Lytechinus pictus: one gene and its partner. The protein of the gene in region 1 interacts with the protein of each later gene in a pairwise test. Links are inferred from orthologs where the notes say so. Each region holds a gene or a part of one and is shown in the gene's direction. Other genes may lie near its edges.

The links. The genes of interacting proteins can lie anywhere in the genome.
Region 2: the proteins of replication factor C subunit 1-like (region 1) and replication factor C subunit 3-like interact in a two-hybrid assay, tested with the Caenorhabditis elegans proteins (3 studies listed by BioGRID). The link is inferred for Lytechinus pictus from reciprocal best matches to the Caenorhabditis elegans genes rfc-1 and rfc-3.

The regions. Positions count from the first base shown.
Region 1 is NC_087245.1:40,462,881-40,473,735, forward strand, and holds the start of replication factor C subunit 1-like, read left to right. Parts: upstream 1-5,769; 5' UTR 5,770-5,929; coding exon 5,930-5,938; intron 5,939-7,593; coding exon 7,594-7,774; intron 7,775-9,130; coding exon 9,131-9,321; intron 9,322-10,139; coding exon 10,140-10,263; intron 10,264-10,834; coding exon 10,835-10,855.
Region 2 is NW_026974140.1:12,517,430-12,528,713, reverse strand, and holds the start of replication factor C subunit 3-like, read left to right. Parts: upstream 1-6,300; 5' UTR 6,301-6,395; coding exon 6,396-6,482; intron 6,483-10,590; coding exon 10,591-10,728; intron 10,729-11,284.

The DNA.
Region 1 (10,855 bases):
GAGAGGACAAAATGGCAATTAGACCACGTGGATAGTGGACGAACTGATGGTAGACCAAATGATAGTAGACGAGTTGGCAATTGGACGAAATGACATTAGACGAATTGGAAATAACCCACCACCACCATCATCATAACCACCACCATACCACAACCACCACTACCACCACCACCATCTCCACAACCATCATCATCATCATCATCATCATCATCATCATCACCATCATCATCACCATCTTCTTCTTCTTCTCTACAAGAACAATTTTGCCCTGCATCACCTTGATCTCGCAAGCCACGCCCAAAGCTTATTAAAGGTTTGGAGCTTAGCATACTGACATGGCTGGTTGCACGTGATGATAGGAAGGCGACACTAACCATGATGATAACATTACATCTATTATGCGCCCTTCTCAAACCATCGACATCACTTTGCCATTCTTTCCTCGAGGTTGATAAGAGATAGAAAGGTTTTTTTTTTTTTTTAATAATCATCATGATTATCGTCAATATCATATTGTTATTTCCTTTAAGTTTTATTGTTTCTTTATCCCCTACACCATAACTTTAAACCAATACTAGATAACATACTGCGCTGTTTTTGCTGGAGTTAACATGGCTGGTTTTTCAACATAATTATATAGCCATGATTATAATAGCGTAGATGATGAGACAATATTGTTTAAAGTTGCAAGAATGTTGGTGAACTCTACGTTGGACTTGATAAAAATTTTGGGGACCTCTGGTGTCCTCCGAAGTCAAGGAAGTTTATATGCCTTTGAATTCCTCCTCTTCCACCCCCCCCCCCCTGCACACACATGTATCTGCATCCACAATCCCGGCATTAGTGCCTGACGTCATGGATATGCTACCAATTCGTTTAATATTCAGATATTATCAAGTGTTGTGACTGTCTGTTAGAGAGCAATATGTTCTATTTAAACACCAGTCATATCATCCTCAGCATATGTCGCAGTGCTTCTGCTCGAGGGCAATGCATGATGCCTACTGGACCATTACCATTTAGAGACGCCAATTAATATTTAGGTGCGGATTCGAGGACGGGGAGGGGCAAATTACACTTTTAGGACTTTTTCGTTAGCATGTCCCCCCAAAAAATGGTACGAGAAAATATGGTAATATGCATCTATACTTTTTTTGTTGGTGTTGATTATTTATTTATTTTATTAGTCAATTATTGAATTATTGGTGTTAAAGAAAGCCCCCCCCCCCCCCGAAGTAAATCTCAGATCCGCCCCTGAATTTTGAGCCAGACCGTCCAATGTAAAAAAAAGATACATAAAAAGCATTGCACCATCGCGCCATCACATTTCCAAGACTTTTTTTTGCACGGGTTAAGTAGCTCCAGCATGGCCAATGCCGGTTACATTTTCTATACAATGGAGAAAAATTAGAAAGAAGAAAGATACACGTCAATCTTGTTACACAGGGGCCGCGGAACGGTTTTCAAAGTGGGGGGCTGAGCCAAAAGTGGGGGGGGGGGGGGCTGACCATGCTAAAAATCACAATCATATGGTCATTTTTACGTTTTTGTACACAGTTTTGGAAAAAAAAGAGGGGGGGGGGGGCTGAAGCCCCCCAGCCCCCCGGTTCCGCAGCCCCTGTTACAAGTCGATACCTAATTCCATAAAAAAAATATATCAAGCCAACAGCATCTGCATCTAGATGTGTGTCACCTGGGAAATGGAATTACATTTGTATTTAAAGGCTGATTCCTTAAATACTTTTTAAAGTTTTATATAATTCTTACTACCTAATATAAATTCGAGGGAATTCGTATACTAGGCCTACATCACAGGCCTAATATTTAAAGACAGGAGTTTTAAAACGCCGGCATTCTGACCAAACCTGAACACATTAAGATTGTAAATCTATTTTATTCTTCTTTCTCCATAATTACAAAATCGTCAGGAAATTTCGTCGGCGCCATTCTACAAACGACAATGGAGCAACAAAACATAAAACAAAAAGGTTGACTGATATACCAAGGAGAGTGATATCTCCTTGGATATACAGCGATTCCGCCGGTGAATGAAGATATTAAACGCCTAAATTGCTAGATGATATCGAAATCATTTCATTTTTATTGCCGAGTGGATTACTGAGTTTTTTTTTCTTATTAGTGATCTCAGATAAGGGAACGTAATTGAATTTCGATTTGTGTTTTTATTGTCGTCAAATTGGGAATCAAAATAGGAAAAGTTAATGACCGACTGCATGGATTCAACGAGGGGGAACGACGTGACAGATGGGTAGATGAAGAATAAAGGGATAGAAGAAGATGGAGGTGGAGGGAGATATAGAAGGAGGAAGAGAAAGAGAGAGAGAGAGAGAGGGGGATGATATAGGGGTGGTTTTATATCAGTACAATTTTGTTTTTATTGTCTAAAGTAGAATCAGATATAAGGTATTGCATGAAGGTAAGTATAAGATAAAGATATTTAAGTTTGCTTTATTATCAAGCATTTTTTAAGAATGAGAAAATAATTTAAACAATTGCAAAATTGATAAAACACCTTTTAGGGGATCTATATATAGGCCTGCCACCCTTTGGCTGCACGGATAATGGGAAATTTTAGTTTTATTAAGCGGGTAAATGCGAATAATATTGATGATGACAATAAATATGTGGGCTTCAATAATAATAATTATCGTTATTTTTTTAAGTAAGCAAACAATTAATTCATTTATTTCATCAATATATACCCATTTGCAACTGTAAGCTCATTATTTTTTGTCTATTATTGATTGGTATTTCTGCATTTGTATATTGAAAATGGGTTTAGAGATCAAATAAACCAATAAATTCAAATTCAATCATGCATGTATTCACTTATTTCTTTTATTAGTTTATCATTATTTTTTTAATTTTTTTTTATTGGGGGGGGGGGGGGGGGTGTGCTGCACTATCCCTACTCGGTCAGTAGTATCAAGGTTGCGATAGCAGTAACACAACGTCATCATTATAAGCATCAGCAGCAGTATTAAAAAAAAAACATCCTGAAAGAAAAAAATACATTGACCCCGCACATGACCCTAAATACTTCTCTTTTTTTTTTTTTGCTTTCTGACGTGCCCTTTAAAGAAATTCTTGGATAAGAGCTGCGGGCTTGAATATGAAATATTGCGACGGACAAGCTAAATAGTCAGTCCTGCATGTATTATTTTATTTCGCTTGCTATGATCAGTACCATAAAGGATGGCAAATTGAGAGATTATACCTCAAGTAATATGACATGCACAAAGTGGACAGATGAATTTGGTATAATTCCGAAAGCAGGTGATCACATTAGGCACAATACAAGAAATCATCACGACGAGAACTGGGCCCCGTTGTACAAAGAGTTACGATTGATCCGATCAATCACAACTATGGAAAGCCAGCAAAGTCAACATATGAAATGCATGTTTGTTCAAAAAAAATTCTAGATATGAATGCAAATCCATAAATTCATTGATTTCTTGACAATTCGGGGTGTTCTCCTTTGATTACAAAGGACATTTGCAAATTTCCTGTAGAAAAAATTATGACACTGATGGATTTCCATAGAGTTACGATTGATCGGATCAATCGTAACTCTTTGTACAACGGGGCCCAGATGTCACTAATGTCCACTCTAAATTTACAGGGATTTTAAATAAATCCACATCGGCGGTAGTCGGTAGACAGTGACCAACCTGAAATAAGGATTTAGATTGATTGACTGATTAATCATGTGCGGGGTCAATGTATTTTTTTCTTTCAGGATCTGTTGTTTTTTATACTCCTGCTGATGCTTATAATGATGACGTTGTGTTACTGCTATCGCAATTCTCCAGAATTTGAATCTAATTAAATTTTGGTCACAACTCACAACCGATCTGTATTTATTCAAAGTATAGTGTCATGGTATCTCAAATGCAGACATTGTTATGAAGGGGAAAAAAAATAGGCAATAGTTCATCTCGCAATGAAAAACTCAAATCCTTTTACAGTTAGATGACAAAGTAACATAATGGAAATTAAAGGCGTAAGAGCTTATGTAAATATAATTGAATACACTGATTTATACTTACTTTTCTGTAGACATCCTGTCTGTTTTGTCTGTTGTTGCTATGAATCAGATGACAGACCGCGGGAAAAAAAAGAGACACAAAATTGAGAATCCCAGCTGTGAATGGTTCGGTTGGGCGGTGATCGCTTGCTACTACCTGCCCTGGTTTCACGAACTATAGACGTGTCCAAGACAGTTGGTTGGAAGAAATTGTGATTGTTGATGATTTTCAGAGAATGAGCATTGATGAGCTCAAGTGTGGACCGGACGATTGCTCCCTGATTTGAGATTTATTGAATGACAAAAGGATGATAGTTCCCAAATACGTGATTTTACCTGGGGTGCCCTGTAATGAGGTCAGTATTAAAGTTGAGCCTGTCACTTTCTCAGGCTGGCGGAGCGAGGGGCAGCGGATGGCTAATAATGAAGATCGAAGTTCATGTTTGGAGGTGCACGCCTATACGGATCAGTGGGTATGGTATATTAGAAAGTGGGAGATAGTGATGGAGGGGGAGAGAGATGGAGGCAGAGATAGAGAGAGATGGAGAGAGAGGGAGAGAGAGCTAGGGATTGACAGACGGACACACACCCCACCCCAGTCAGTCCGCACAGCGTATGTATAATGCGGGATGTAATGGCACGGAGCCCGTCAGTGTATGGTGGGGCCGGGGGGGGGGGGGGGGGGGAGGCATGCATATGCAGAGATTGAAGAAGAGAGTTTTAGAGAGACTTGAGAGAGGGAGGGTGAAAGAAAAGAAAGTGGTCATTGCTGGATGGGCGGGGCGGGGTCGGGGTAACTGTCAGAATTTAAACGCTCTTCCAAGACATGATCCTTAATTTGGATCAGGAGCGGCGCCAGGGTATTTGACGGGTGGGGCGAGCTGATGGTGATGTATTTTTTCTTCAATTGAATATTAGGTCATATTAATAACAATTACAAACGACCAAAAAGTCTCTTCTTTCTTTTTTTCCTCCCCTTCCGTCTTTTCGTCATTATTTTTGCTTAATTCTCTCCTATTTTTTTCTTTGTATTCAAAGCTTGAAAATTCATAGGGGCAGTCGCCCCTGCCCTCTGCTGTGATTGTGGTTATTATCATTATTATTAATTATTAATTATTATCATTATCATTACTATTATTATTATTATTATCATCATCAACATCATCATCATTATCAATTAATTATACTATCATCTATACTTGTTTTGTTTATATTGATTGTCAAAATACATCAGAGCTGGGCTATTGGTGTTGAAGTTAGAAAATTAGGAGACTTAGGATCCAAGTCGTGAGTCACCAGGCCATGTATTTGTTGAAAGCACTAGAAAGGGGGTCCTCCCTAGTGATAACGGCTATCGTAAGCAGGGTCATAAGGCACTGAAAGTCCCGCAGGAATGAAAAAAACCCCATAAAGCCAATTGAAGAACTCGTCGCGTTTTAAGTGAAAGTTACAAAAATGAGCAACCCCCTCTATCTCCCCCCTCAAAATAAGGAAACGCATTCTTCATCACTGATCCCCAACACTTTCATCTCGTAATGGTAGACAACTATAAAAATAACAAAAATCGGAGAGATGCCCTTTTCGAAAAGTTTTCCGAGTTTCCTTTCCCTCCATCCCCTCCATGCTGCGCTTGGCCACTCCCCTTCCCCCTCCGATCAATCTCTGGCATATCACGTGATTTATAGTGCGATCAGGTGATCATGATGGGCTGGCCCCCCATTCATTTCAAGTTTTTATTCGTAATCTTTACGAATCGACGGGGAACAGCGAACGCAACTTCAGCGCGCGAGCGCGAATGACAACAACATGGGTTAGTAGTTCGACTGAGCTGAGCTGAATTGAATTGAATGACGGCTTATGTCAAACAGCTGATTAATCATGTCGATGGTAAATATTCTGAATTGCATGCACATTTTAATGCTTTGACGTAGGCCTATGGTTACTTTTAGACATTCAGTGATTTCAAATCCTTTCGTTGAAAAAATGCCCTTTCAATTTGAAGTTGAAACGGAATTAAATAAAAAATTCGAAATTGTGTCCTGACCATGATGACTCGTCGTGATGCCTGATGGTCCCGTCGTGATGACGAATTGAGATGGGAATTGGACTAACGTTAGGTTTTTCAGGCTAGTTTCAGTGTCATCTGATGCAAAGAAGTGATGGATGAATGTGGAAAACTAGAAGAAACCTAACGAGTGAATGAGGGAGGATATGGTTGGCCCAGGGATCTAGATCTAGCTAGCTAGAGTAGAGTCTAACTTGTTGAGTTAGAAATTTTTGTTGCAAGAAAATATTTGCGATCAATTGCAAATATTTTGTTGCAATTTTACAACATACTTTTTAGATCAACGTCAGTTATAGCAAATCAGATTTAACTTCTTGTTTCAAGGAGCAGATTAGCAATCACTAATTTGCAATTTACTGCAAGACATTTGAGTGATTTAGGGACCATATATAGATCGCAATTGATCGCAAGTTTCTTGCAACACGGTACACCCGAGTCGATCTCGATCTGTTCTTACTGTCTTAGTTAGATCAAGATCTAACTTACACATGTCATGACATGCGTGACCCAAAAAACATGTTTTTAAACTAAAGTCTATATGTCTGGTCGCATGTGCACTTGTTAAGGGTATAAAAAACAATGATTTTTTTTTAAAGGTGGTTCAGAAAGACTGGTCAATCATGGATGGTCAATTATGTTCAATCCCGGGGTCAAATGTATTAGGGTAATTTTTTCTTTCCAAAGGCAAGGCTTTTTTTTTAAGAGTAGCCAAACGTGTTTAGAACTTTAGGGTATATTTTTTCCCAAGCTTTTTCCCTGCATGGGGCCAAAATGTGTAAATGAAGCCTGTGAAAAACTTGTTCAGGGGTTATTTTGCACACAGAGAAAATCTTGTTTAGGCCCATGTTTGGAAATAATTTGGTCACGCATGTGTACAGCAATATATTTGACTGGCCCCATCACCCCCACCCCCCCCCCTCAAGATGGTTGGCCAGGTATTTATTTAGTACAGACTTTCACTTGTGACTTTTTCAAACCCCCTCTGTGAAAAAAAAAAAGATCCAACTAACGTTAGTTAGAGTTGTAAAATCTAGAATCTTGACTTGTTTAGAACTATTTGACTATTTCAAAATGTAACTTTAGGGTCTGAGTTGGAGATAGTGAAAATACACTTGACAGTGGAAACAAGACTTCAAAATTGCAAAATTAATTGCATTTTATTTTCCCAGTTGATATGCAGTATTTTTTAATGAAGGAAAGGATTGGTCGAAATGCATGCCAAAAGGCTTAAATCATGAAAATGAATGTTTGACAGTTTGGTAATGATACATGTTTCCGTGCAGTCATGACTATAAACTAATGGATGGATTCAAATGAAGAGGGGGGGGGGGGGATGGGAGGTGGGGGGGTGAGGGATTGCTCCCATGTAGTACATTTTACTAGTGGCCAACCTGCTAGTGGCATGCAGTCATGTGCATGCACTGACAATGATAAAGACAGACTTGATCTAACAATAAATTTATAAATCATATTCCAGGACATTCGATCCTTCTTCGGCAGCCCAGGAAGGGGTAAGTCTGCATCCAGTTCAGCTAAGCAGAGCAATGGCAAGGGTAAGAGAAAGCACAATGACGATGACGGAGACTTCGTGCAAAGTGAGAAGAAGCAACGCCACTCGGCCAAATCAATGAAGAAATCCAACATCATTTATGACTCTGGTAAAGTGAAGGTGTTAATGTACTTAAATGAATGATTCACATCCTGTGTGTCTTTCATAAATACTAAACACAAGGATGAGAAACTGTCTTGAATTCTGAGAAAATTTTTCCCTTCAATGAGTACATGAAATAAATACAAAATTATATTCATGTCTAGTACTCTGCTCCCATCTTCTCTTCTTTTGTCATATTTGCAAGACTTGTATCAGAGTTACTAGCAAGGTGAATTAAAACATTCAAGAGTTCAGGTTAAAATGTAACCACATAATGGCCTCCAAAATTTACAAATTAAGAGAATTATATACATAGTAATAGTGGAAAATTAGTATAGACGGGGAATGATAAAATAAAAATCTAACATTTATTAAAATGAGCAGAAAGGTTACCATGCTGTTTACGGATGAGGTATTCTTTGTTATACACTGCACTGTATGAAGCGAGGTTTAAAGAAAGCAAAGTCAGGGATTTATTTTGAAGTTTGCAGAGATAAAGTATTTTAAGAAGAGAAAATTGAATAAAATAAAGAGAAAACTTGTCAGGGCATCCATATTTTTTCCTCCATTTTGAACCTGTTGACTTAAAATTTTCAGCATTTTAGGTATCAAGATCTAGTAGTGCTATAAAAAAAAAAATCAATGAGTGGGACAAGGAAAAATTAAATTAAAATCCCAAGCATGTTGGGCTTGATCATTTGGTAATCTACACTGAGTGATGAGTGAGAGGCTTTGTTGGATGCCAAAAGAACTTAATTGCTTTAGAAGCATGATCATTCATCCTTTCCCTGACATTTCATTTTCTTGCCTCAGACATTTTCAGAAATGAATGTAAATTAAGGTTTTGAATTGCAACAAATCAATTCAATACCTAATAATATAATGTTCAATATATTATGTTGTTAAATATTATAAGTTTTCATTTCATTAGTGATGTAACTTTAATGCATTGATTTTATTTGTTATAATTTGTATTAAGTATTTTAGGATTAAGGTTTAGGTTTATTGTATACATGTAATTCAGATCAGGTTTAATGTATAATTTAGTAATTAAATATATTTTGTAAAGCGCATAGAGAATCTTTTGACTATTATGCGCTATATAAATTTCAAATATTTTTATTAGTATTACCTTGAAGTTTAAAACAGGAACATGATCATGAAACTTGTTCCTAGTTTCAAATTTTCTTGAAGTGAGGTTATAAAGTGTACAAAAAGTGTGCAATTCATAAATGCTTTTTCTCTAGAAACCCTTGTGAACAGGTTCAGAAGGCAACCCTCCTATTCATCATAATCTACACAATTTTTCCAAAATATTCTTTACCTGTTATGTTAGTTTCACTTTTACATTGAACATTCATAGACTCAGACGACGAACCACCCCAATCCAAAAAGTCAAAGACCCCTGTGAAGTCAGCCGATTCCAAGACCAGTAAGGGACCGGCCAAGCTGCCTCAGCCGACCCCAGAGAAGAAGAAACCCACCTCGGTGATAGATTTCTTTGGGAGCTCACCGGTCCAGAGGTCTGCAAAGAAATCCACAAGGAAAGATCAGGTACGACAGTGTGGTCCTCTTAGGATTTGGCACAAAGGAGTTTTCATAGGACAAAGTTGCAGATATGTTATAGTTGTGGGAAATATTGAAACAGTCATTGAGCTATCAAATTCTTTCCATGATATTTAGGAGAAAATATGCATTGCAAAGCATTGATTGCACTTCAAAATATACATATATATATATAAAAAACATCTGGAATTGTCGGACCACCAATTTGGGTGTAGTCCTATGCATGCTTATCTGCGTGAAGTGCACGTGACTGTTCGAAAATTGAGTCAGATTTTTATCATTTTGATGGTTATATCACTTTAAAGCAAACACACTTGAATGTTGTATTCTTTGATTCATTATAAACAGCATTTTAATAGCAATCACTTTTAGAAAGTCTACTCCATTATTCAAATTTACAGCATGAACATATTGTAATAATAATAATAATAATAATAAACAGTTCTTGTATAGCGCATATCACGATTATGAATAATGTCTCTATGCGCTTCCAAAGGACTTGGATATTATTACCCCAGCTGTAGCTTGGCAGCCGTAATTACTTGTAGAAGATTAACTTTCGTAGTTTCAATTCTTTTTCCAAGATGTGTTTCGTAAAATATATCTTTGTAGCAGAATGAGTATCTGGCTCAGAAGGCAGTTGACAGGTTTATTAGCTTATCTACAAGATCACCTTTATATAACATTCTTGCAATAAAATTTGCCTTTTAATATATATTTGAGCTGTTTTTATTGATAAATGAATCTTCCTGTAAACATAATTGACAATAGTTGACAAGTTGATCTGCCTATTCACCACCTTGCAGCCAATCCCAAATGGAGGATCCAAGAAACCAAAGCTTGAGAAGGAGGAGCATGATGACGATGACTTTGAAGCCACCCTCAGAATGATGGATGAGGACAAGTCACCTCATAAAGAAGACAAAAAAGGTGAGATTGGAAGAAAAACAAATCAAAAGACAAGACAAATATCAGACAGAAGTCCCTTGCTTTATGGTCCATTAATAAATAGAACAGGCTACAAGACTACCGATCTACCAACTGAACTATTATGCCTCCCAAAACCCATTGCAAAAAGAGTTTTTTTATTTTTATTAACATGTAACTCTAAAAGTCAAGTTGAAATTTGAAAGTCAAATTGCATAATATGGTAATAATGATGATAATGATAATAATAACAGCAACAGCAACAATAATATGCAGCATGTCACTTAGTACAATGTTTCTAACATTTACATACCCCTGCTACCTTGATCATGTGCTTGAGAATTTAACAAATTCCTTCTTACCGAGAACCCATTTACTACACCTGTGTCGACTGTGGCAAATATGCAAGGACGAGTGCCATGGTGGGATTCGAACCCCGGACCTTGTGGTTCACAGTCTGGATACTTATCCACTGATTGCAACTGTTTCTGCAAAGGGCCTTATGTTTTTAGAATTTCAGCGATATATGGCAATAATAACTTTTAGGAGATGATATCCTCTGTTATTTTTATAGGTAAGGGTAAAGGGCTTGCAA
Region 2 (11,284 bases), on another chromosome or scaffold:
TGCTCATTCCTAGCTGCTAATTTCACCTTGTATGTTATAAGCAGGACGAAAAGTTCTTATTCATCAAAGACTGGACTCATAAATTATAGTTATAGAGAAAATAAATGCGAAAGCAACATTACCCCTGGATGTGAAATTTCTCTTCTAGCTGGCACTTTCTGCCACTCAATACAGATAAGAGAATTAAACATGTAACTCGCTCTCTTGGCATAAGCTAAAGGCCTATTATTTTATGAAATCATCAATATTATCAATTCAATTACTGAGGCTTTATATAGCCATATAATATGATTATGAAAACATGGAAAAGGTCGCTTTTATACTCTGCTTTTCAGAGTATCTTTACATTTAAATGTTATATAATTGCAAGAAGTGTATAAATATTTACCTAAACAGAAAACACTGTCTGCACTTAACTTCTCATTCCTGCTATTTTACCTTGTATATTAGCAGGATAAAAGGTTTTTATTGATAAAAAAAAGGACTACTGGTAATAAAATTTTAATTTTGGAGCAAAGAAAAGCTAAGGCAACATTACCCCTTCAACTTTCAGGATCACCAACAGAGATATTAAACTAGTCTGTTAATGGTGTGTAGTGTGTATAAATCATACTAAAAGCAAACATTATTCACGGCTTTCAGATATAGAAAATTAAGTTTCAGCTCACTTTTCCGAATTAAGGTAAATATAGGTATCAAACAAATGATTCAGATGATCGATTTAAATTTCTCGACTCACTGATTTCTTCGCATAACACTTCCAAATCAGTGGAACGATTACTAGTATTAATTTTGTAAGGACCTTCTTATGCCGGATTACATAACATAGATGCGTTACTAGTAAGGCCAGAGCATTTACAGAACATTGCATAATTATTCGTTAGACTGAATAAACGTTTTAAAACGATTTCAAACGTTTTAAAACAATAACGATCGTTTGATTAGGGTTAGTTTTTTTTAAATAAAAAAAAAACGTGCTTTATCACAACCCTGAAAGGAACGAGTGGAGGGAGGAATTAACGGCCACGTCACAGCTACAGCCATTGACGCCGATTGACGCCGGCCTTTTTTAGTCCAGTCAATATAGAGTTTTACCCACCACTAATTGCAACACGAGATATTCCACTGCAATTATTTCAAGGAAGGTCCCCTAAACAACATACTAAAAGTCCCAAGAAATCCAAGCAGTGGAAATTTATGAAATTTGCATATTATGCAAATTAGCCATAAAAAGTTAGAAAAATAAGGAAAATAGCCAAAGATTACAAATTGAGTGTCCAAAACAATTTAATTTGAGCGAAATCCATTATAAATAACTGTATTCAATGTTCTTTGTCAAAAGTGCAAAAAAATCTACCTCATTTGCATAATATGCAAATAAGCATCCTTATATGGAAAAATGTCAAGGTATTGTGATTTTTCTCTCATTAACTGCTTGAAAATATCATTAATATTGAAATTTACATGCTGCTATCACTAAGGACGTTGAATACATTTGTATTCAGCTTAGTGTCTGAAGTGTAATTTGCATATTATGAAAACAAAAGTATCTAACATGTTATAAATATTCAAGAAAACACACTGGTGATACATCCCTCAAAAATTGCAAGTAGATTATCTATTGAAATTGGAATATGGCAATACCTTACAGGAAGGCTTCCTAAACACCATATTAAAAGTCCTTAAACATATAAGCATATAGGAAAATCACAAAATTTGCATTTTATGCAAATAAGCCATAATAGATTACAAATAAGGAAAATAATCAAAATATTGGAAATCAAGTGCAGAAAACAATACGAATTGAACTGAAGCCCATGATAAGTTTTACAAATTTAGTTATTTTTTAAATAAGAAATCGTTAATAAATCTACCTCATTTGCATATATATGAGCATTTTTATAAGGAAAAAAAATCCAGAAATTTTGACTTTTCTCACAAAAACAGTTATGAAAACATTTCAGTCTAGATCAATATGATGTGATCACTAAGAATGGCAAAAACATTAATAATCAGCTTAATATCTGAAGTGTAAATTACATATTATGCAAATAAGCATCCGACATAATATAAATATTCAAGGAAACACATACGTGATACTTTCCTCTAAAATTCCATGTAGATTATGTGTATTAACCATGATGACCTTCCCTTCACTTCTTGCTTGGTTGATATTGACTTTTGTCACGAGCAGTTACCCCACTCATATTGTACAATGATGAGTCCATTCTACATGGATCCCACTGCTTGAATGCTTCATTATTTTCATCCAAGTCTTGCTCTCTTCTTTACTTTGTAGAGACTTTGCGTTTCTCATCTTGCGAGTATAGCCCATGCTAGCAAGCTCCTGGATTGCCAAGTGATCAGCACAAGATGTCACACCCGTACAAATAAAAGCCTATTAGCTTCGAATATTTGGTCCTTGTAGCACACCACTTAACATATAAACTTGGGGTCCTTGTATCTAAAGCGCTTAACGATAAATCTCCACCCTACATATCAGAGCTCTTATCTCAGCATAGACCAACACGCAGTCTCAGATCAGCAGATCAAGCATTGCTGAGGGAATCTCTCAGCCACACAACCTGGGGTGACAGAGCCTTCTACATCTCTGGACCAAAGCTGTGGAATAGCCTTCCCCAATTTATCAGGAGAGCAGAGACCCAATCAACTTTTTGAGTCGTATACCTTTCTGTTCCCCACTCCAACATTATCCCAAGAATAACTCAATTGTAGTATTACTAGAACAGTACTTGAACTGAATGATGATCCTAAGCACTGTTTGAAGACATTGAAATTTGTGAGATATTTCCTATTTTTTGAGCAAGCGCCATGAGCGCCCAGCTGAGGCGGATACCGGCGCTTTACAAGAACCCATCATCATCATCATCACTTGTCTTGGTGGTGAATATGAGTACTTGCTTGGATCACAATATCTCTGGGCATGCTTAATAAGAGTAACAATGGGCATTTGCCTATACGAGCGACATGAAAGCCATTCATAAATTCATGATGAAGGCTTAAAGTGCATTATAGGCATCTTTCTCAGATACAGGAATCGTGATTAGACGTTCTTGCTGAATCCAGTTGCTGCTTCATGATGAAGCATTCATTTTCTGTTCTTTCCTCTTTTATAAATCTCCTATGGCAACCATCTCCAAATATTAAAGCTATAGTTTCTAAGTAAGTCGTATGCAAATAATAATATTAATGTCCTGATAATTATGGTAAACAGAAATTCCTCAGTGAGACAATGAACAAACCAGATGGAGGACTAAACCAGATTATTGCCTTTCCAACAAGAGGACACAACACAATGGAACACCCTTAACATCACCATCAAATACCATCCAACATTGATTACACAGTTACCCTTTTTACACACGCTAAAATTTCCTTAACCCCGTACTATAGGTGGGGCTAAATTGCCATTTAGCCCCACCTATAGTACGGGGTTAAGCTTAGCCCACTTTCTTTTTACACAGCATTTTTGCAAAGTGGGCTAACCCCACCTTTAGTACGGGATTATTTGGCCCTGCAAAAAAGCAGGGTTATCCCAGCAATTGCGGTGCTAAGAGCGATAGTACGGGGTTAAGATCGCTAGTGTAAAACGAAAGTGGGCTAAGCTTAACCCCGTACTATAGGTGGGGCTAAATGGCAATTTGGCCCCACCTATAGTACGGGGTTAAGGAAATTGTAGCGTGTGTAAAAAGGTACGAGTGAAGTACTTGTACTACGAATGATCGACAAAAACCACTAGTCCGGGGTTAGCGAGTTTCGTGTGTGAAAAGCAAGCATTCCTTATCCGGGGTTAGCAATAACAATTTGGCATGTGTAAAAAGGAAAAAAAATAGTACGGGGTTAAGGATAGTACGGGGTTAGCGATAGTCCGGGGCTAAGAAAATCCTGTGTAAAAAGGGTAAGTGTGTACCACTTCCAGGATTTATTTACCACAATGTGTTACTCATGGGTACACTGTGAGGTTATCCAGAGGAATAAACCTTTTAGTAATTATGGTACGACTAAGGATGTTCTTCTGGAGGAATGCTGACTTTAATAGTGTCATGCAGATGTACTTTGGACAATCATACAACTCTCTGTACTGAAATCCGACAAGGCGAGCATAGGAGACTGAATGCCAATCAAGAGGACTTTAACAAGAACACACCGTTAACCATTGCCTCAATGGACAATGGACATAAGTTGTGTCGAAAGATGTCAAGATTTTAGAGAAAGGCTAGGAAGGCTTGCACATTTTAGAGCTCCAAAGCATCAGTAAGGTAAAGCTCAGAATTGCTACAATGCATTAAAGAGGACCAGACAAACCTATAATACATAATTTGTTGACAGGATTGACAATGATCCAGGCTGTAACAATTAGCATGTTGGGTCAATAGCTATGACTACATTGGAATAGCATTATTAAAGGAAGGCAAAGATTTTTAGTCTTAGTATTCACCACTGATCATGATGATGATGATGATGACGCTGCTCTACAAGTCCTGTGACCCAGTCCTGACCCAGATATGGCCAGATAACATATTGTTTAGTCAAACAGGTGTAGCCAGACTACTGAAGAAATTGTTAAAGAAAACACCCTGCATGAAGCTTCTAGGCCAGACGGAATCTCTGCTACACTTCTCAATGAGACTACTCATCAGATCTTACCTGCCATAAGTTTGCTTTTCCTGGCCTCCCTTTATCATTTTCATACGGTGAATTTTCAACAAAGTATAAGTCGTTCCCATCCATATAAGAAAGGGTTGTCAACTCTAACAAACTACACACCAGTTCAAATACTGTGCTTTGTTCTTTCCGATCCCATCATCTTGCCAGACTAACAACGCGGCTTAGGAAGCGAAGAACATATTTCCAGTATTTTTCCTTGAATATAAACCATATTAGGATAGATTTGAATGCTTAGTGATAGCAGCATATTAATTTGAAAAACTGATATGTTTTCACTGCAGTCAATGTGATAAAAATCAAAATTTCTTGACATTTTCCATATAAGGATACCTATTTGCATAATATGCAAATGAGGCAGATTTGCTAGCTTTTTTAAATAAAGACATCGAACTTATTTATTCATCATGAACTTTTGTTTAAAATTACTTGCTGTGGACATTTAATTTGTAATCTTTGGATTAATTTCCTCATTTTTTTTAATGGCTAATTTGCATAATATGCAAATTAATTTTCAGGCATTGGGATGAATTCTCATGCTTAGTGATATAGTAGCATATTAATGTCAACATTAATGAAATGTTTTCAAGCAGTCTATATGAGAAAAATCACAATATCTTGACATTTTTTTCATATAAGGATGCTTATTTGCATAATATGCAAATGAGGTAGAAATTTTTGCACTTTTGATTAAAAACATTGAATTCAGTTATTTATCATGAATTTCCATTAAAATTAAATTGTTTTGGACATTTAATTTGTAATCTTTGGATTATTTCCCTTCTTTTTCTAATTTTTCATGGCTAATTTGCATAATATGCAAATTTCATAAATTTCCACTGCTTGGATTTCTTGGGACTTTTAGTATGTTGTTTAGGGGACCTTCCTGGAAAGCATTTCAGTGGAATATCTCGTGTTGCAATTAGTGGTGGGTTACCCCCCTATTCTGGCTAGATTGACTGGACTATTTATTATTTACAATACTTTGATCATGGACCCTACTTTGATCGAGAAGATGCGTTAAAACGAAAATTGCGATCCACCCACCTTGAACGAAATTAAATATCGATACGGGATGAAGGCCCGGTCGCTTCTTGTAGGATTAATATTGCTGAAAACTACTACTTCATGAGCTTGCGTGAGGAGTCATGGAAGCTCAAAGTGCTTATTTTGCCAAAATATATCAATACTTCTTTTAAATTTGTCTGTTGTTGGCATTTGTATATTTCAGGGGCCGATTGCACGAAAGGGTCTTTCCAAGGACCGTCTTTCGTGTCGCCCATCTTTTATGATACGCCATGTGAAACGCATTTCAAATAAATTATCTGCAAATATATTTTATTTGTCCGTTAAAATAAACAAAATATTTGTTTATAAAATGATGTGATATCTCATGAAATTGTATAAAATTTGATTTAAAAGCAAGCTTACGAATTTTATTTGTTTATCATAAATTTCAGAAACACCCCGCTTATAGCGCATCATAAAAGATGGGCGACACGAAAGACGGTCCTTGGAAAGACCCTTTCGTGCAATCGGCCCCAGGAAGACTATTCCAGTCATTGGCATTGATTACTCTTTTCAATTTTCGCGAAGACTATTATAAAAGGTCATGACCTTTAGTTGCGGGAAATTCGCAAGTTTCGCGCGATCAGTCAGTGTTGTATGCATACATAATTCTAAATCACCATTAATTTTAGACTATCAAAATGAGTTTATGGGTGGACAAACACAGACCAACGTCATTATCCAAGCTCGATTATCACAAGGAGCAAGCATCAAATCTGAAAAAGTTGGTGAGTAGATGTATTCTGGGTCATAAAGTATCGATGGTGATGTGGTGATGAAGTCGCTAGCTTTGCCTTTGTTCGGTCCCATATACCGAAAATCGTGTTAATGTTAGTTGAAGTACGTAGTACACACCCGAAGAATCAAAGGTATTTTATAATGACTTGTTGTGGTCATCATTGTAAAGGAGAAGTATTACTAATCAGATATATAACTTCACTTTTTAAAATACTGATTAGAGTTTGCAGAAATCAGTTCTCAAATTCAAAAATGACTTATTTTCATGGCATAATTTCTGCCTTCGTCAACAATGACCAATGTTGGTTGCTCCAAAATATCACTTGATTTGTTTAACTTATCACACAATTTTGTAAATGGAAAAGAAGTTCATTTCCCCCCATTAGGCACTTATAACCTTATTTTTACACGAAAAATAATACAAAAATTAAGAAAAATCATGTAAGAAGATGAGCAGATACAGATGATCTTGTCGCCATATTTCCGTCTTTTGATTGATTGATTGAATTTATTTTTTTCTTCATTTCATACAAATTGACAAAGTTAGTAGGAACAAAACATAATATGAATAACAGAAATGAAAAAAGGGAACTCACTGGAAAGCTTCGCTTGTTTATGTGAGTCCCCTGAAATAAATAACTGATTAAAATTGATCATACAAATAGAAATTAAGAATGTTCAATAGAATATTTGAAGAATACTAATGGGGTCAAGCTTCGTATGTTATAAAATAGCTATATTATTTCAAGCATCGCGATTGGTCAATACGCGTCACATGACATCCAACTTTTTTTGTGCACTGCACGGGAGTGCAAAAGGTGTGCAACGAAAATTGACATTGCACGCTCGAGCAAACCAGTGCGGTAGAAGTAAAAATAAAAAATAATTTTTTACGAAAATACTCTACCCAGAGGTCTGTACTACACCCGGAAGAAGAAGTCCAACAAAACTGTACTGTAACTTTTTAAAAAATTGTTTCTGTGTTGCTATTTTATAAAACAGATAATGCACTTGCTCTGTCGTGCGTAAAAGTAAATGCAGGGAAAGCTCGGTTTCTTCAGATGGAGCACACTGGGCACTCGCCGCAAGCGGCTCGTGCACAGTGCGACTCCTATCTAAAGAAACCTCGCGTGCTCTGCATTTCCACTAACGCACTCGGCTGCATGCATTATTTGTATATTAATGCACTATAAAAAATTAATACAATCAAGTCAATATTTTGATACCCATGGCATACAAAAATATATACAGTGCGTCTCAAAAAAAACTATACACTTTTGAAATGGCTGCCAAACAAAAAATATGTCACCTTGGGGAAAAATACCTATATATATGAAAAGCCAATAAATTAAACTTTAAAATGACACCAAAAAGTTGGAAAACTATTCATGCTTGAGTGAGCACTACCCACTTAAACAAAGGGTATGAAAATTAGGGTGGTCAGGAATTAGCCTTCCAATTTCTTTCAGTTTTTGAGAGGCGAGTCCCCTGGAACTTGCAAAGTTGAGGGTAATGTGATAAATTAATGATCAATCATTATTAATTTAGGTTCTTAGAGCTAATTTCAAGAATTATCCAATTTAAATTTATGCATGAGTGAACATGAATTACATTTTTTTAGAGCATCATTTTGACCTTTTCACGTGGATCTCAGCAATGTGTTAATGGGAGTCACAATAGGGATGAGATATGACTTAGGTGGGGGAAGAAGGTTGATGGGACAAAGGCCAACAGAACAAGCCACCCCCCCCTCTCTCTCTACCCCTTCCTCCCATCCTGAGAGACTAGCCTTTGCTATAGGGCGAGCAGGAATTAGCCTTCCAGTTTTGTTTAGTGGTGAGTCCTTTGGAACTTGCCAAGTTAAAGGTGTCATGCTAAATTATTGATGAATTGAGATCAGTTTTTGGTTTTACTTAGGCTAATTTCATGAGTTACTAAATTGAAATGCAGTGCATGAGTAAACAGGAATTTTAATTTTAGTGTAGCATTTTAAGTTTATTATGTGGATCTTAGCAAGTGTGCTTGTGAGAGTCAGAGTAATGTGATGGTACATGTACCTGTTGCATGCAAGGGGGGTCAGATAGGGTAAGACTGGGTTAAACAGTTAAAAGGGTGTTCTTCTTTGTTTTCTCTTACAAATTCCCTCCCCTTCACCCCCTCTTTCTCTCTTTCTCCTGGATCATGGTATTCAAAACTTAAATGCTAAGTGACTGATGGTTGATGGGTCTTTTATTTTCCATTGAATGATTCTAAGAAATTTACTAATTATGATGATTTATGAATTCATTGAAAAAGCTGAATAATTGATTGATAATTTATTGAAAAAGCTGAATGTTTAATTGATCACATTGATTTACTAACAAATTGTTGATCAAATGGTAAAAGTTGATGACCGAATTCTCAAAATTTATCAAATTGACAGTCGGCTCTGGACTTTATGCGTACATGTAATAGCATTCAGTCTCGATCTAAGGGAGTCTAAACATTCTGTTGACCTTTTACCCATTAGCTTACTTCACCCATTTAAGTCCTATCTCACCCCTATTCTCCTTACTTCAATGAACACACTGCTGAGATCCACATGATAAAAAGTTAAAATGCTACACTAAAGATTACTACTGACACTCACTCATGCATGAAATTTCAATCTAGTAATTCATGAAATTTGCTCTAACAATTTAAATTGATCATTAATTTATCACAACACCCTCAACTTTGCAAGTTCCAAGGGACTCGCCTCTTAAAAACTGAAAGAAATTGGAAGGCTAATTCCTGCCCACCCTAATTTTCATACCCTTTGTTTAAGTGGGTAGTGCTCACTCAAGCATGAATAGTTTTCCAACTTTTTGGTGTCATTTGAAAGTTTAATTTATTGGCTTTCCATATACATTGTATATAGGTATTTTTCCCCAAAGTGACATATTTTTTGTTTGGCAGCCATTTCAAAAGTGTATAGTTTTTTTTGAGACGCACTGTATATACAAGATAACGATTCAAATATTGTATGTAAGATAAATTTAACAAGACAAGAGGGAATATTAACAGAGAAAAAAAAACACAAAACAAAACAAAGACAGTGTACCGAGGTTCGTAGCCTAGTTCGTAGCCTTGTTCGTAGCCTAGTTTAATTAGTTACAAGACGCGTATAAGAGAGGGCAACGATATCATTATCATGAGCAGTGCCAATTTTTTTAATAAAAAAAAAATACTTCAAAAAGACAATCGGCCGATAAATATCATGAATTATAAAATATTTGCATTAGCTAATTTATATCTTACAATATTTATTAGCTAATGCAAAAATTTTACAATTCATGATATTCATCGGCCGATTGAAGTATTTTGAAGTATTTAGGGTTAATGAAAATAATAGGCCTACAGTCTGGGGAAATAAATGTTCAACTGAAGATGGGGATAAGTTATAACACAAGCTCAATCACACATCAAACAAGCAGATGGAGAGAAGGAGATGGAACTTAACTTGGAAGACAGGAACATAATTGAACTAAACTTGATGAAGTCTGGTAGTGCACTGATTTATTTGCTGGGTTTCCTTGTCTCGTTAAAACTCAAAATTGCATTATAAAATTAGTAAATATTCAAATTACACAAAATCAACAATGAAAATAAAGAAAATAGAGGAGCCAACTGAAAGTGGAAAAGTGTATAAAATAACCAATAAGAGATAGAGGATGGAGATGAATAAGATATTGGGATGATTACATAATAAGAATGTTGAACAAAAGAATCAGATGTGGGAATGTAATGGACACATCTGAATAGGAAAAGAATGACTAGAGAAGCAGGTTGAAAGTCAAATGGAAGCATCAAGAATGTAAACAAAGCTGAACTAAATACCAAAGCTAAAACCTAGAAGTACAAATAACTAAACTATAAAAGGAAACCAAATGTCAAAATACAGTCGGATGAATATAGTGTTTTATTATCATATGAATGGTGTTTTTTGTGAATCATTATTCAATAGTTGTTTTCAAAGTTGGCATTGCTGCTACATGTATATTGAATCGCGTAATGCAGGCAAGACTGCCAGAGGATGATGGATTCAAAAGCCTTTGTTTTTTTAACATTATTACACAGGTGCAATCGGGTGATTTCCCTCACTTGATGGTTTATGGGCCATCGGGTGCAGGGAAGAAGACTAGGATTATGTGTGCTCTAAGGGAGCTGTATGGATCAGGAGTAGAAAAACTTAGAATTGAACATCAAACTTTCATGGTAAGGATATGCACGTAATGGTTAAGAAGCAGTTTCAAGTCTTCATTCAAAGTTTAGATTTATTCAAAGTGCATCTGGGCCAGATCGTATGGTTCTTGTGTGTGTGGCACATACAGTGGCGGACCGTGACCTAAAGGAGACAAATGATTGGAGGGGCACTCTATTCTTCGTGAACAATGCTGTGCCTATCCAATGCTTTGTCTCCTCCGGGTCACGGTCCGCCGCTGGGCACATATACTTCAATAATTCTGTATAAGAGTTATGTTCCTTGGCTAGCTCCATCATAATTTTTAGATGATGTTTACCTTCTTTCCATGATTTTGTGTATTCTGGATTACATTAGATTCATTAATAGTTACTGGAGCTCTTTTCCAAGTATGACAGCTATTTTCAGCTACTTCTTATGCAACTTCTATTCCTACTATAAACTTTAATTTGACTACTGCTTCTAATATTGATATTAATATATCACCTGAATGAATTATTTGTAATTAGTGCTTGGCTTACATCTGCATTTTGTATGTTAATTTTTTTTCCATTTGTTTGATTAGATTGA